Neodiprion lecontei: one gene and its partner. The main gene of each other region encodes a partner of the protein of the gene in region 2 in a complex. Links are inferred from orthologs where the notes say so. Each region holds a gene or a part of one and is shown on either strand. Other genes may lie near its edges.

Evidence for each region.
Region 1: probable small nuclear ribonucleoprotein Sm D1 (region 2) and pre-mRNA-splicing factor CWC22 homolog share a complex: the UniProt entries of both Homo sapiens proteins name them as parts of the minor spliceosome. The link is inferred for Neodiprion lecontei from reciprocal best matches to the Homo sapiens genes SNRPD1 and CWC22.

Annotation. Positions count from the first base shown.
Region 1 is NC_060261.1:13,514,480-13,522,092, reverse strand, and holds pre-mRNA-splicing factor CWC22 homolog, read right to left. Parts: upstream 5,122-7,613; 5' UTR 4,735-5,121; coding exon 3,859-4,734; intron 3,782-3,858; coding exon 3,464-3,781; intron 3,320-3,463; coding exon 3,166-3,319; intron 3,061-3,165; coding exon 2,908-3,060; intron 2,744-2,907; coding exon 2,517-2,743; intron 2,444-2,516; coding exon 2,163-2,443; exon of another isoform or gene 2,092-2,162; coding exon 1,990-2,091; exon of another isoform or gene 1,921-1,989; coding exon 1,760-1,920; intron 1,633-1,759; exon of another isoform or gene 1,516-1,632; intron 1,478-1,515; coding exon 1,140-1,477; 3' UTR 873-1,139; downstream 1-872. Other genes in the region: EF-hand domain-containing family member B-like, read left to right, coding at 120-300, 405-534, 657-855; tetratricopeptide repeat protein 14 homolog, read left to right, coding at 7,177-7,337, 7,416-7,552. UniProt on the Homo sapiens protein: Required for pre-mRNA splicing as component of the spliceosome. As a component of the minor spliceosome, involved in the splicing of U12-type introns in pre-mRNAs. Promotes exon-junction complex (EJC) assembly.
Region 2 is NC_060261.1:43,621,946-43,627,214, forward strand, and holds probable small nuclear ribonucleoprotein Sm D1, read right to left. Parts: upstream 3,098-5,269; 5' UTR 2,953-3,097; coding exon 2,939-2,952; intron 2,723-2,938; coding exon 2,646-2,722; intron 2,508-2,645; coding exon 2,310-2,507; intron 2,141-2,309; coding exon 2,058-2,140; 3' UTR 1,611-2,057; coding exon of another isoform or gene 1,380-1,610; 3' UTR 1,249-1,379; downstream 1-1,248. Other genes in the region: NEDD8-activating enzyme E1 regulatory subunit, read left to right, coding at 1-440, 511-644, 707-909, 987-1,123, 1,380-1,610. UniProt on the Homo sapiens protein: Plays a role in pre-mRNA splicing as a core component of the spliceosomal U1, U2, U4 and U5 small nuclear ribonucleoproteins (snRNPs), the building blocks of the spliceosome.

The DNA of each region.
Region 1 (7,613 bases), about 30 Mb from region 2:
TATGAGAGCTTTTCTATTTAAACCAACCACGTTGGTCCAAGCGACCTTTTTCTCTGATATCGGTGATATATGTTATAGAATTTTGAAAACTTTCTGAGCTTTTGATCCGTTATATCAAGGTAAAAACCTGTTTGGAAATGACTAAACGGACACCGTTTCAATTGCTAATCTGTGAGCTAAGAGATACAGCTATGAACAGTTACTGGAAAAAAGAAGTTGGTAAAACTTCAGGCCAAAAATCAAATTTACCAAACGGCGTTGACCCTGTTACAACAATTTTTGGAAAACGCACTATGTCCAGTAACTTTCTTTAGTCATAAGCATTCGAAATCATTTACATATATTATTGGAAATTCTGACATTAGAATAAAAAAAATTTAGTCATTTGCGTCACAATATTTTAGATGGTACAGCAGCAGAATTGGTAAATCCTCGAAAAACTGTGACTGAAGTTATTTTAGCTTCTCGCATTGGCCATCGACTTTACAGGAAAAGTCACAATAATTATGATGTTTCTGAACAAATCAATCGAAAGTGAGCATTCTGTTGGAATTTTATTGCCACAAAAAATAGCGTTACTGATATTTTAAATAGATGGAATATGTTTATGATTTCCTTGCTTTAAATGATTTACATGTAATTGTTATTTACGACAGATATGTTGAGCCATTCAATAAAAATTACAAGTATGGCAAGAAAAATAGAATCGATAAAGAGGGTAGTCAAGTTAAGCAGTCGATGAGGTGGTTCAAGCAAGATGTTGCATCAATCGTTAGTAACCTCCAAGCAGACTTTATCAACAGGACTCATGCTCCTCTTGGTCGTTCAGTGTGCCATACACCTGAGGCGTATTAAAACTTTTGCATTTTGGGATTTTGGAGACAAATCAGAAGTTGAAACGTGATCATTTCCGGAGGGGTTAACCTTTATTGAATTCAACTGAATTCATTCAAAGTTTATTAACCCCATGAAATCGACTAAATAACAGGAGTGTCAAGGTATTTTTTTTTTTATTCATAATAGAGAATATCTGTTCAAATAAATTCCCAGTATGTTGATGCGTTAGAGGCGAAATATACAGCCAACGAGATATTGTGATTCATTATTTGTTACATTATAAAAATTACTGTCATTATTCACTAATCCTTATGCCTTCTATGCCTATTATTTTTGTCCTTGTGCGTGTTTGTCCGATCGTCACTTTCCCTGTCCCATTCTCCATGCCGATTTGGTTTGGTTGATCGTTTTGATTGACTCAATCTATCATTAGGCGTTTTATCGCTATTCCTGCGCCCTTCATTTGTCTCGTGAGTGCTGCTAATACAGTTTCTATCAGTTTCTATATCCCAAACATCTTTCACGATTGATTTGTTTTTTAGTTTCTTTTTTGTCACTCGCGTTTTGTTTTTCTTCTTCTTTTTTTGGGTTTTTTCTTTCGCAGATTTCTTTTTCCGATGGTCGTCAGATTCAGAAGAACCTAGGAAATATAGATTTTTTTTCTTTCCTTTTTTACAGCAAGAGTGAAGAGTTACGAAAAATGACAAAAAAATTTCATTTCTTTACCTGACTTGTAAATTACTAAAAAACGAGTGGTCCACTGGTTTTTCCAGAAAAAAAAATTAGCAGTTTCAGGTACCGACTTTGGCATGAAATTCTAATCCCCCAAATAATCAATTTTAAGTTGGAAAATTTTAAAAATATACATATTCGCAATTTTTGCGATTGTAATCATTATTTAGAAATATGAAAAATTTCGTACTTGCAGTCTCGGATGATGATGACGACGACGATGAACTCGACGAGGATTCGGAACTAGATGAAGATGAACTGCTGGAACTAGACGACTCTTTTTTGTCTTCAACAAATTCTGGCACTACAGCTGGCTTCGGACGCGATTTCAAGTGTTCTCGTAATTCATCCCTGAAATTACAGCATTCATATAGAAAAATATTGTTGGAATTTCAATTAGTAAAAATGAATATAACTTACGTAAGACCACCCAGACCAATGGAAGTGAAAAAATTGATAGCAAATCTTGTATTCTTTGGATCATCTCGTGGAAATAAACCCTCGAAGGCTCCTTGCAAAGTCCTTTGAATCAAAAAAACAGTTTCAAATAGAAGAAGTACAACACATCAATATCTAATAAAGACATTACTTACACATCTTTCACACGCTGATTTAATTTTGAAAGTCCCATATACTCGGATAATTCTTGGAATAAAATTTTTATGAAGATACGACTAGAGCTGGTAGTATCTTCTTCATTTAATTTTATGCAAGATAGAACCTCCCAAGAAATGGAATCAGTGAACAACAAATGAGCAAAGAATTTGGACACGTTACGTAGTTTGTTGGTGTCCAAACGATGTATTGTATCGTACGAATCGATGAAAATTTGTTCAAACGGCGTCACGTAGATTTTGTTAATCGCGCAAAATCGCTGAAAAAGCAAGTCATTCAATCAAAATACAGATGTTTCACAAAACATTGAGCAACCGCTAAGAAGCACTTACCCCAGCTAAGAGACCAAAGAATTTCTCATATGTCCTCATCTCTGCGCAACAGTCCAGGAACATGTGACATAGTTCAATTTCTTGCCCAGGCTTCAGCTGCATCTTCATCAATTTGTGCGCACATTCCTCAAAGTCGAGAGAAGAATGAATAGTTAAATAAATCGTTCTGCGCAACGCTGTTAAATTAGTTTCAGTGTTGTCGACTATAACATCTTCCTTTGCTTCTCCTGAAAGAATCCGTTTTACTTTATTATATCAAATATTACAGAATTTGAGGGACTTTTAATAAGGTAGGAAATAGTCACTGATATTATATTTTGGAAGGAATTACGCCTTCATCTCCACAATTACAAATTCCATCACAAATACATGTATCTGAAAATCAAGTTACCTGTGATATTACTATCTTCCTCGTCAGAGGAGTTATCTTCTTCATCACCATCAGAACCATCTGAACCGCTACTGTCAGTATCAAGAATCTCTTTGCTCAATGCTTTATATTTTTCCTCTGTTGCAATGTAGTCCGGATCGAACTTGAAAACGTCTATGAGAAAAAAAAATTGATAGATGCCACATTTTGAAATGTCATGTTATAGCTATGCCGACAATTATGAAGTCAATGCAAGCCGTATATTTGTGCAAGTCTTACTCAGTACATCTTGAGGGTCAGTTGCTTCGTCCAAAGTCACAAGGTGAGTAAACTGGTTATCCTCTTCAACAAGGTCAAGCTCTTCATTCACAGCCTCGTGATCTTTAAATCCGTCTTTTCTAATTTGGAATATAACTTCTATCATATATTGTACCTGAAATATGTTCAAGTCAGTGGTGAAATTTAATTAAGAAACTATGCAGCATAATTAAAGTAAAATGGAACATCCTTAATAGATCATAAAATATTGAAACCAAACTAATGTCAACGTTTTATGATTTCAGGTGTTTCTACCTACTCTTTTATCCAGCTGTCCTTCATGTAAGATGTTGCGAAGCATTTCAAATATTGCCTCGATCCCTTTCTTGGAAACCTCTGTGAGTTTCATGCCACATTCTTTCAAAAATGCGATGGCAACTTCGACGGAGTCATCAGTTGGCGTCTCTACTAGTAAAGTTAGTATTTCCAAAGCTAAGATTTCATGGGCAACACGCTGGTTGACCAAATGGGCAACAAACGTGGCCGAAGAAATGCACTGAGCTTTATCATTACGGCGAAATCCACGCTTGAACTGTATGACTAGACGCTTGAGCAACAATTCACCAATATTAGGGAACTGAAAAAGAAATGATGTGAGCATTTCAGAATAATATTAAAAAAAGGAAACCAACATCAATAATATAAATCATGTACTTTTGAATTGATCACAGCAGTAAGTGCTGCATAGATAGGTGTGAAAGTAGGGGAGGCAGCTTGAGCCTGAATAATAGATCTCGCCAACAGGCCTCGACCTCTGACAATGTTCTCGTGTAACAATTCTCTAGTGATTAATCCGATATTGCTGGTGTTGACTTTATTAATGTATCCATGAATGGACTTTTTCAAGGCTTCCCAAGATATCCGCTGGTATGCAGCTCCCGATTTGTCAGTGATCTCAGCCTGCATCATGCGGAGTTTGGCTGGTGGAATGTAAGCACCACCAGTTTTCGATGTCAGAAGATCCACCGTTCGCTTTTGCGCTGGTGTAATTTTTTCTCGTTCATTTTCCACCGTGATCTGATTCTTTTCAGCACACGCGACATCCTCATCATTTTCTTTATCGTCGTAGCGACGTTTGGGTGATTCATTCCTCTCCTCGTGACGACCGCCATAAAAACGCTGTCCTATTCTTTCTTGTTTATTGGTCGGATACTTGTTCCAGTACTGATCGCTCCAATATCTACGTAGTGAACCATTGTCATTCGAGTCATGACCCTTTCGATACGATCTATCATTCTCATCTGTGGCTGTTTGCCTGTCGTCTTCACTTCGACGAGTTCGTTCCTTGTCATTCCTATGTCGTCTCCTGTCTCTATCTCTGCCATTTCTGCTACTGTTGTTGCTCCTGTAGTATTTAGAATCACTTCTCTCCTTTCGCCTACTGTGACGATCACTCTTATCTTCATAGTCTGAACCATCGTTCTTACGTTTACTTCTCCTCGAACGTTTATCGTGTTCAGTTTCATCGTCACTGTTTATCGATGGCGAACACCTCTTGTCAGGTTTGGCTTTCATTGTGTTCTCAGACATAATGAATTATTACCAATTATCACATCAATAATTACTATGAATAAGAATATTGATTGAAAAATTTATGACATTAAGCAGCGCGAATTTTATTTCTCTGTATTTAAAAAAAAAAATTGCTGTTTATAGTGCACTCAAATCAATAAAAATATGTAAGTTCGGACCACAAGGCTCATTATTGCCACAAGACACATGGAACCATTAACCCCAAAAAACTTGTAGTACAAAATGTCAGGTCGGAGCGCTGTGCGCGTAGTTTCGAACCACTCTAGTCGTGCTCTAGTCGATCCAGCCGCGCCGGTATTACGATAAACTCGTATGCCAATGAACGGGGTAAAACCATGTATACCACGCGACAAATACGTTTACTGCAGCAAGACCACAGATCATAATTGATCCAAGTTATACACACTAGGTTTGTTCGTGCTAGCTACACTCTACACTCACAAGTGTAAAAAGAACTAGGGTAGTGTACTAGGGATTGCTGGGGAGTGTACGTTCGCTTCTCGAGTGTAGCTAAAATAGCGCGAACGCAATAGTGTAGAAGGTGCAGAGAAGTGGGGACAAGAAAATGGCGCACGTTACGTACAGTCGTTTTTTTCCTCGAAACACTTATTAATACAACAAATTAGTAAATAAGATAAAGCATTTTTGGAATTTGTTAACGAAATCTTTCATACCTTATGTTTTAAGTACACTGTTATCAAATTGAACCTTGTTTTTGAAGTAAAATACTGTACTGCTTTGTTCTGATTTGGAGTGAGGTTATGGGTTTGTTGTCACTCGTGAGTTTTAGGGTATATATCGCATCACAGTTCACTAACGTGGTGGAAAAACCTGTAGCATTCATGCGAATTGAACCATTTACACTTTTTACACCTTTTACACTTGGTCTAGACCGAGTGTAAAAAGTGTACACAAAGGCCGTGTTCGAAAATTGACTGACAGTACTATCAGCAATTTTTTATCTCTTTTGCGCTGCCGAGTTCATGGATAGCTCTGTCTCTGTCCTAGAGAATTTTTAGTACTGGCAGTCAATTTACGAACATGGCCAAAGTGTAACGAAAGTCTAGTGACATTTGTAAAACGAACAGCGCCATCGACGTCACGTTCGCTAAAACGAACGCGCAAGTGTACACTCCCCACGAAAGTGTAGAAAGTGTAGCTAGCACGAACAAACCTATTAACGGATGCGTTCCGAAATTAGCTCCCAGTGTTGTCAGCCATCTTTTATCTCTTTTGTGCTGCCAAGTTCGTGGGCGGCTCTGTCTCTGTCCTAGGGAGTTTTGACGCTGCAGCTAGTTTCGGAACGCACCTTATTTAGCAGTTGCAAAGTGAACAAAATGGGCCGACACACGGCTTGACGCGAGTAGTCAGCCGACTGGAGCCTGCACGTGAGGTATATATGTGTGAGGACCAAGTGGATGTGTTCGCTACCAATGAAAATGGTGGCTCGTTAGCGTACGTGGTTTAATCGCAGTGTTGATCTACCGGTACAGTGATATTTCATCATCAGGTGAGTTTCACGTTAATTATGAACAAAACGAAATAGACAAAATCGCAATGTTTCGGATATTTTAGTCATCGGTGAAAGATCTCGTATGGTTGTTTCCGTTTCTTTTTTTTTTGTCCGCGTTGCCGCATCAAGTAGTATCAGCATGAGGCGATATGGCGTCGTTCCTGAAACTCACCGAAACGACCATTTTGCTGTTATCAACAAATCGATATTAAACTCGTTTGATTCATTTATAATTCATTCATCCTACATAGGCTTGCAAATGAACTGATTCGAAATTATGGATTGACGCATCATTACTCCTATTCTCACAATTACTTCAATTTTAACTCGTATCTGAGACCCTTTAGGAATAACTTTCACTGAACATGATACATGTTTTACACATATACAATATTCATAGCATATAATTACGTATATATTATGTACGCCCAATTCTTATCTTCATTTCCATCTATTGTTAAATTCAAGAATTAAGCATTGAGAACTAAAATTAAGCTGTGGGGCTCGCTTTTACAATAACTTGTTACAATGTTTTTTGGCTCAAAAATTGTTTCAAAAATCTGTGCTTAATGTGAGTAATGAATATATATTACATTAACGATGCTGAAACTAACAGCCAAAGTCAGCAGCTAAACCATTCGATGCTGGTATAACTTTGTGTCATGGAATTGCTAGCTTTGGCTACTAGTACCAGTTTGATGAATTCGCTTTGGCAAACAAAGAACTATTAATTATGGCCAATAGATTTATCATTCGTATACTTCTCAAGTAGTTTTTATCAGAAGTAGTATGAATACTAGAGATAGTTTCAGTTCTTACTTATAATGAACATTTTTTCCTTAAGAATATGGTGCTAGGTGAAGAAAAAATTCGACCTATTTCTACTACAGTCTTATAGGTTTTATCAACAAGGCTGAGAATCAGTTATGGAGTCTATGGAGCCGCGCTTAGTTGCGCAAGCGTTGAACTACCATGGGCAGCAGTTACAGAAGGTGTGGGAAGGAGAGCGGAATGAGAACGAGTTGACCCTGCTAAATCTTAAGGAACCTAGTTTTGAGATTTACCAGCAGCGGCAAAAAACACTTAGGTAAATAATGCGGAAGTAAAGAATTACAAGCACACAATTAACTATTCAGAGTTATAAAATCCAAAATTTTGTTTACAGTTTTAGTGATAGGGGTAAAAGATTGAAACTCCAGCAATTTATTGCTAAGAAGGCGGATGCGCTTTATGACAAAGCTAACTTGGACAAGCCCGTTCAACCAATCAAACAAGACTTTGGCGATGAGGGTAAATATCAAAGTAGGAAAATTTTCATCACTATTTATAGAATAAAAGTAACCATTCTGTATGTGTGCATGAT
Region 2 (5,269 bases):
GCCGAAGCCTGGGCTTTATCGCGTACATGCGAGTTCAGACCAGAGAACATACTGTCATAGAAACTCACCCGGACAACGAGACACCTGATTTGCGATTGGACAATCCGTTTGAAACATTGAAAAATCATTTTGATTCAATAAATTTGGACGAACTGGACCTGAAGGATCACACTCACGTTCCATATGTTGTGATTCTGTACAAATACCTTGAGAAGTGGATATCTGAGAATGGGGATGTACCAAAAAATTATAAGGAGAAACAGCAGCTAAGAGATATGATCAGGAGTGGTATTAGAAAAGATGAGCACAATAATCCTATTGATGAGGAAAACTTTGAGGAAGCAATCAAAGCTGTTAATACCAGCGTTGGACGTTACGAGGTACCTCCCAGCGTCATGGAGGTCCTGAATGACGATTGCTGTATAAACCTTACCGCCAAGGTAGTATCGTTTCTTTTTTGTTTGAGCACTTCGACACATTTCGGACAAAACATAATGATGAAAATTTTAGAGTAAACCTTTTTGGATTATCGCCAAGGCTGTAAAAGACTTCATGGAGAATGATGGTTCAAATTCATTGCCACTCAAAGGTGCTGTACCAGACATGACGGCAGATACAGAAAAATATATATCCCTGCAACAAGTGTGAGTGTACGTGAATTTAATGTAAGTGCCGAACGGACATCTCAATGTATAATAAATTTCAGGTATCACAAACAAGCCGCAGCAGATGCGGAAGCAGTTTGGCGAAGAACAGTCCATTTGCTCAGACAGATTGGTCGCCCCTCGGATGCGATAACAGAAAAAGATGTCAAGTTATTTTGTAGACATGCTTCTAACATTTACATTCAAAGGGGATCCTGTATAGCGGATGAGTATGATCCAAAAACTGTGGATGCCAGCGAAATGAGTACGCCTTACTTTCATTTCATTCATATTTTACTTTCAGCTGTATATAGCTCATGTAAATAATGTTGACTCTTTTAGCTCAAAGTCTAGAAAATCCTGAAAGTATGATGGTGTACTACGTGGTACTCAGAGGGATCGAAAAATTCCAGGTGGAATACAATTCGTATCCAGGCGAATTCGACGATCACGTTGAACCAGATATTGTGAAACTTAAGGTACTATTTCAAAGCCTAGCGTAGAGCAAAGTTAAAATTTGTAAATAGTAGAGTATGTTTCAACTAGCGATAACTTATCACATTTGGGATGTGTGCGAACAGAATTGGGATTAGATCCAAGTATATTCTTTATAATCGTTTAATTCTGATTCTCGACAACACAGGAATTTTCAAATCTGTTTTTAGGGCCACCATACCAATAGAAACAAAGCTTTCATAATATCTAACATATTTCTACGTTTGTATGTGTACTCAGGCCTGTATTTCAAAATTGCTGATGGAGTGGGGTTGTGGGCCATTGGCAAAGGATGACTACGTCCATGAATTTTGCCGTTACGGCGGATCTGAACTACATTCGGTGTCGGCGTTCTTAGGAGGGCTAGCTGCGCAGGAGACTATAAAATTCATAACTAATCAATGCAAGCCGATCCACAACACTTTTATATACGACGCGGTAACGTCAAATTCGGCTAGTTTCTTTATTTGAATAGTAATAGAAAATTTGCAATACTATCGCGTAATACTATAATCACGTAATCATGAAATAAAATTCACTATTTCCATACAACTTGGCTAAGCATTAAATTACCTAGTCTGCAACACACGCCAAAAGATGAATGAATATCGTTAAATTAAAAATACGAAAATGCTTTTGTGTATAAAAAAGATTTGATGATTGATTTTTGACAAAAAAAAAAAAAAAGAATTTCATTTTATTATTACGTCAGATAAGGCTTACAGGCTAACTTCATGTCTGTGAGATATCAACGTTTTTATCGAACTTAAACTAGAATGCATTGGTATTAGACTTGTTTAAGAATATAAAACGTTGGTCAGTGGTGTAATTCACCGAGGTGCGTGGGAAGAGAAATCGCAGAATACAACACCTCGTTACGTTTCTCAAAAATCATCAATGGATCAACTATTTCAAACACTATCGCCTGCCTCTTCCTCTGCCACGACCTCCACGTCCACCTCTAGCGCCACGTCCACCACGGCCTCTTCCACGAGCCGCACCTAGTACAGAAAAACAAGGATTAGAAATCATCGATATGTATTAGAATACTATTGCAAAGTCTGGATTGAATGTGTCGAAAATTGAATCAAGGAAGATTAGTCACAGAAAATACTAAAACATAAATAAAATTGATCATAAAGGCCGCAAAACTTGAATGACTATAAGGACCTCGTGCGGCTTCTTTCTTCTTTGCTTTAGCCTTGGGCGTGTCATCGATAAGCAGAGTTTCCAAGGGAAGGGAATCAGGCAGAATGTAGTATCGAATGTTGTTTCCCCTCAAACTCAACGTATCGAGTTGTACAGGGTCTCTGTTCTTTATCGTCATCTTCACAGTTTTCAAGTGGGTGTTCATGGCCACATCCACACCTTAAAAATAAACATTTTTGTCATGCATCTGCAAAAACTATTTCACTTGGAGACAAAAGAGAAGCGGCCTGCTCTGTACGCTATTCCAACTGTGATTTGATTGTGTCAAGTCAAATGGCATAGGTTATGTTTACAAACCTGTGATAGTTCCGTGAACTTGGGTGCCATTTTTCAGTTCTATCGTAACCGTCTCATGGCTGAGTTTCATCAAAAATCTGAAACACGAAATATCCCAATTAATCCAGTGTCTTTTCACTCATTGCATTAACGGTGTTCGTAACGTAATTGCAACATCACTCATAGAGGCAGGTTAGGTACGGGATTTAAATCAGTATCTACAATCACACGGTAGTTAAGAAAAAAAACTATCCGAATTTATAGCAATCTAAAACTTCGATCGACGGAATGATTAATTATCGGCAAATTTTTACCTCACTAATTTCATGATGCCGATGGATTTTTCGTATAAAAATTCACAAGCACCGGCAAACCATAAACATCGTTTCAACGGCCGAAGTTCGGCGGGCTGGACGCGTCGAAAGCAGCGCCACTCGATGAACACGGATTTTCCGACAAACTGTACTTTGTGTCTATATTCACGGAGTAACAAGTTCGATTCGACAATTAAGTCACGCCAAATCTGGCTTGAAAATCGAATTTTGTATCGAATTATATGTACACAGTTCTGAATATTGTCTACACAGAATTGTCGATTGTACAATTTTCGTGAGATACCAATTGATACAACTTAATTTTCTCAAACGTTTACCTTACGTATCCAGTTTCCAAAAGTTGATGAGGTATCTCGCAGAACGTTGGAAAATCAATTTTGTTATTTGACGATATCCATGATACGCCCACACAAGTGTTTTTTCAACTTTATTTCGATTTCCCTTGATGCGTGAAGTTGTACAAGGGTCATCGACGCATAACTCTTCATATGCCTGTATGTATTATGTATATACGAGTTGTTGTAAACATCGTGGATATAATTAATCGCCGAGGAGTATTTAACTCAAGTCAGTCACGTCGCTACTCACTACTAATTGATGTGCTTGTTTTTCCTCTAGACGAACTCATCTGCACGCTCGACGAAGAACTACCTACGGAAGGTTACACATATTGTCATAAGCCCGGTTGAGTTCGGTGCACGCGATGTTTTGCCACAAACGGCCACGGCGTATTCCATCTGCACTCACCCTGCACTTACTAATCACGATAAAACGCAGGTATTATACCAACGTACAACATACGTATGCATTGCACATCATGCGTTATACGTATCCATCCAAGGGGAGAAATTAGATAAGTTTATTGCAAGTTGTCGATCGACAGATGATTATCGTCCGTGTAAGTGGCTACGCAGCTTGTGTGCTTTACGCTGCTGTATAAGACGTACACATCAGACATATTATCCATAATATTTATATTAGGCAAGCGTTAGTCCTGCATAATTTCATCGTACGGAGATCGATCACAATACCTACTATTAGGTAGGTCGTAGAGCTCTTCGTTCAATGCTGTTTAATATATATCTGATAAGCTTTTACAAATATTACGAGCTTACGTACATAATGTTAACCGCCAACTGTTTCCCACATTCTGATTTCAACGAAAATTAATCAATGAGTATAACCATATATCTATACAGGTCATGTTAATTAACATACGTCATACGCTATTATAAATCCGTGAAATTGAAAGTGTAAAATTAGTGTAAAATATTGTGAACCCAGATTCGCGAATCGCGGCACTTAATACATTATTGCATTTGCAGTCTATTACAGAGGTGATCGCGTATGCAAAACGCGTCTGGATTTTAAACATCGTATTGGAATAACAAAACTTGCGCGTAAGTGGTCGCGTACATCGTCGATGAATCATGTATGAAAGCGAGAGGTGGGGAGGCGAAGAATGACTCGGTGTATCCCGACAAACTAACTTGCACCTTATATGCATAGGCACAATAATACAACGTATTTCCAACCATTACTGTTCTCGATGTTTATCCAGCTTTATTACAGGCCTCCTTAAAGGCCTCCCGCTTTACGTATACCATAAACGTGGACTCTCCTTCATTCTGGTCCTTCACCTTTACCACAAAAACCGTCGGCTTCGTTTACCCATGGTTCCTCGACGTCCGTTAGCTGGTTAGAATTATTCCAAAAACTTGTTTACGAGTACCTACATTGACGGTCGAAATTTCTGTATTTTTATTACCTCGGTATAACTGCGTATACGTTTATACATGTATACGGAGAGCCGCAAGTCATTGGAGAGTCCGGCGCAGTGATCTCGATACGTTAATTTTTTTTTTTTTTACCTTTCTTACTTGAGGTTCTCTAATCACGTCTACCCAGAATTGCCGAGGCGTACGGCTGTGACAATGATGTCCCGACGGTCTCACGCTGGTGTGACGTCATCGTCTACGTCAGCAAAATCCTCGAGGGGGCCTCGAGGCCCGATCGGAGTCGCTGCCGCATCCGGAGGCACGCACCCACGTCAAACGATACAGCGCGTGAAAAGAATTCTAGCGCAGGATAGGTGGGGGGCTCGGATAAAACGATAAATGGTAACACCGATTTTTGCATATTGTACAGTCGTGCGAAAACTCACTGCAATAGATCACACGCTTTATCTCGGCAAAGCATTATAATTTTACACAAATTGGAAATTTTAAACATTTATTACAAGCTAAGCGAAAAAAAGGAATTTTGTATCCAGGATCGGACGTTTTGTTTTCTTTTCTCGTACAGGTTATA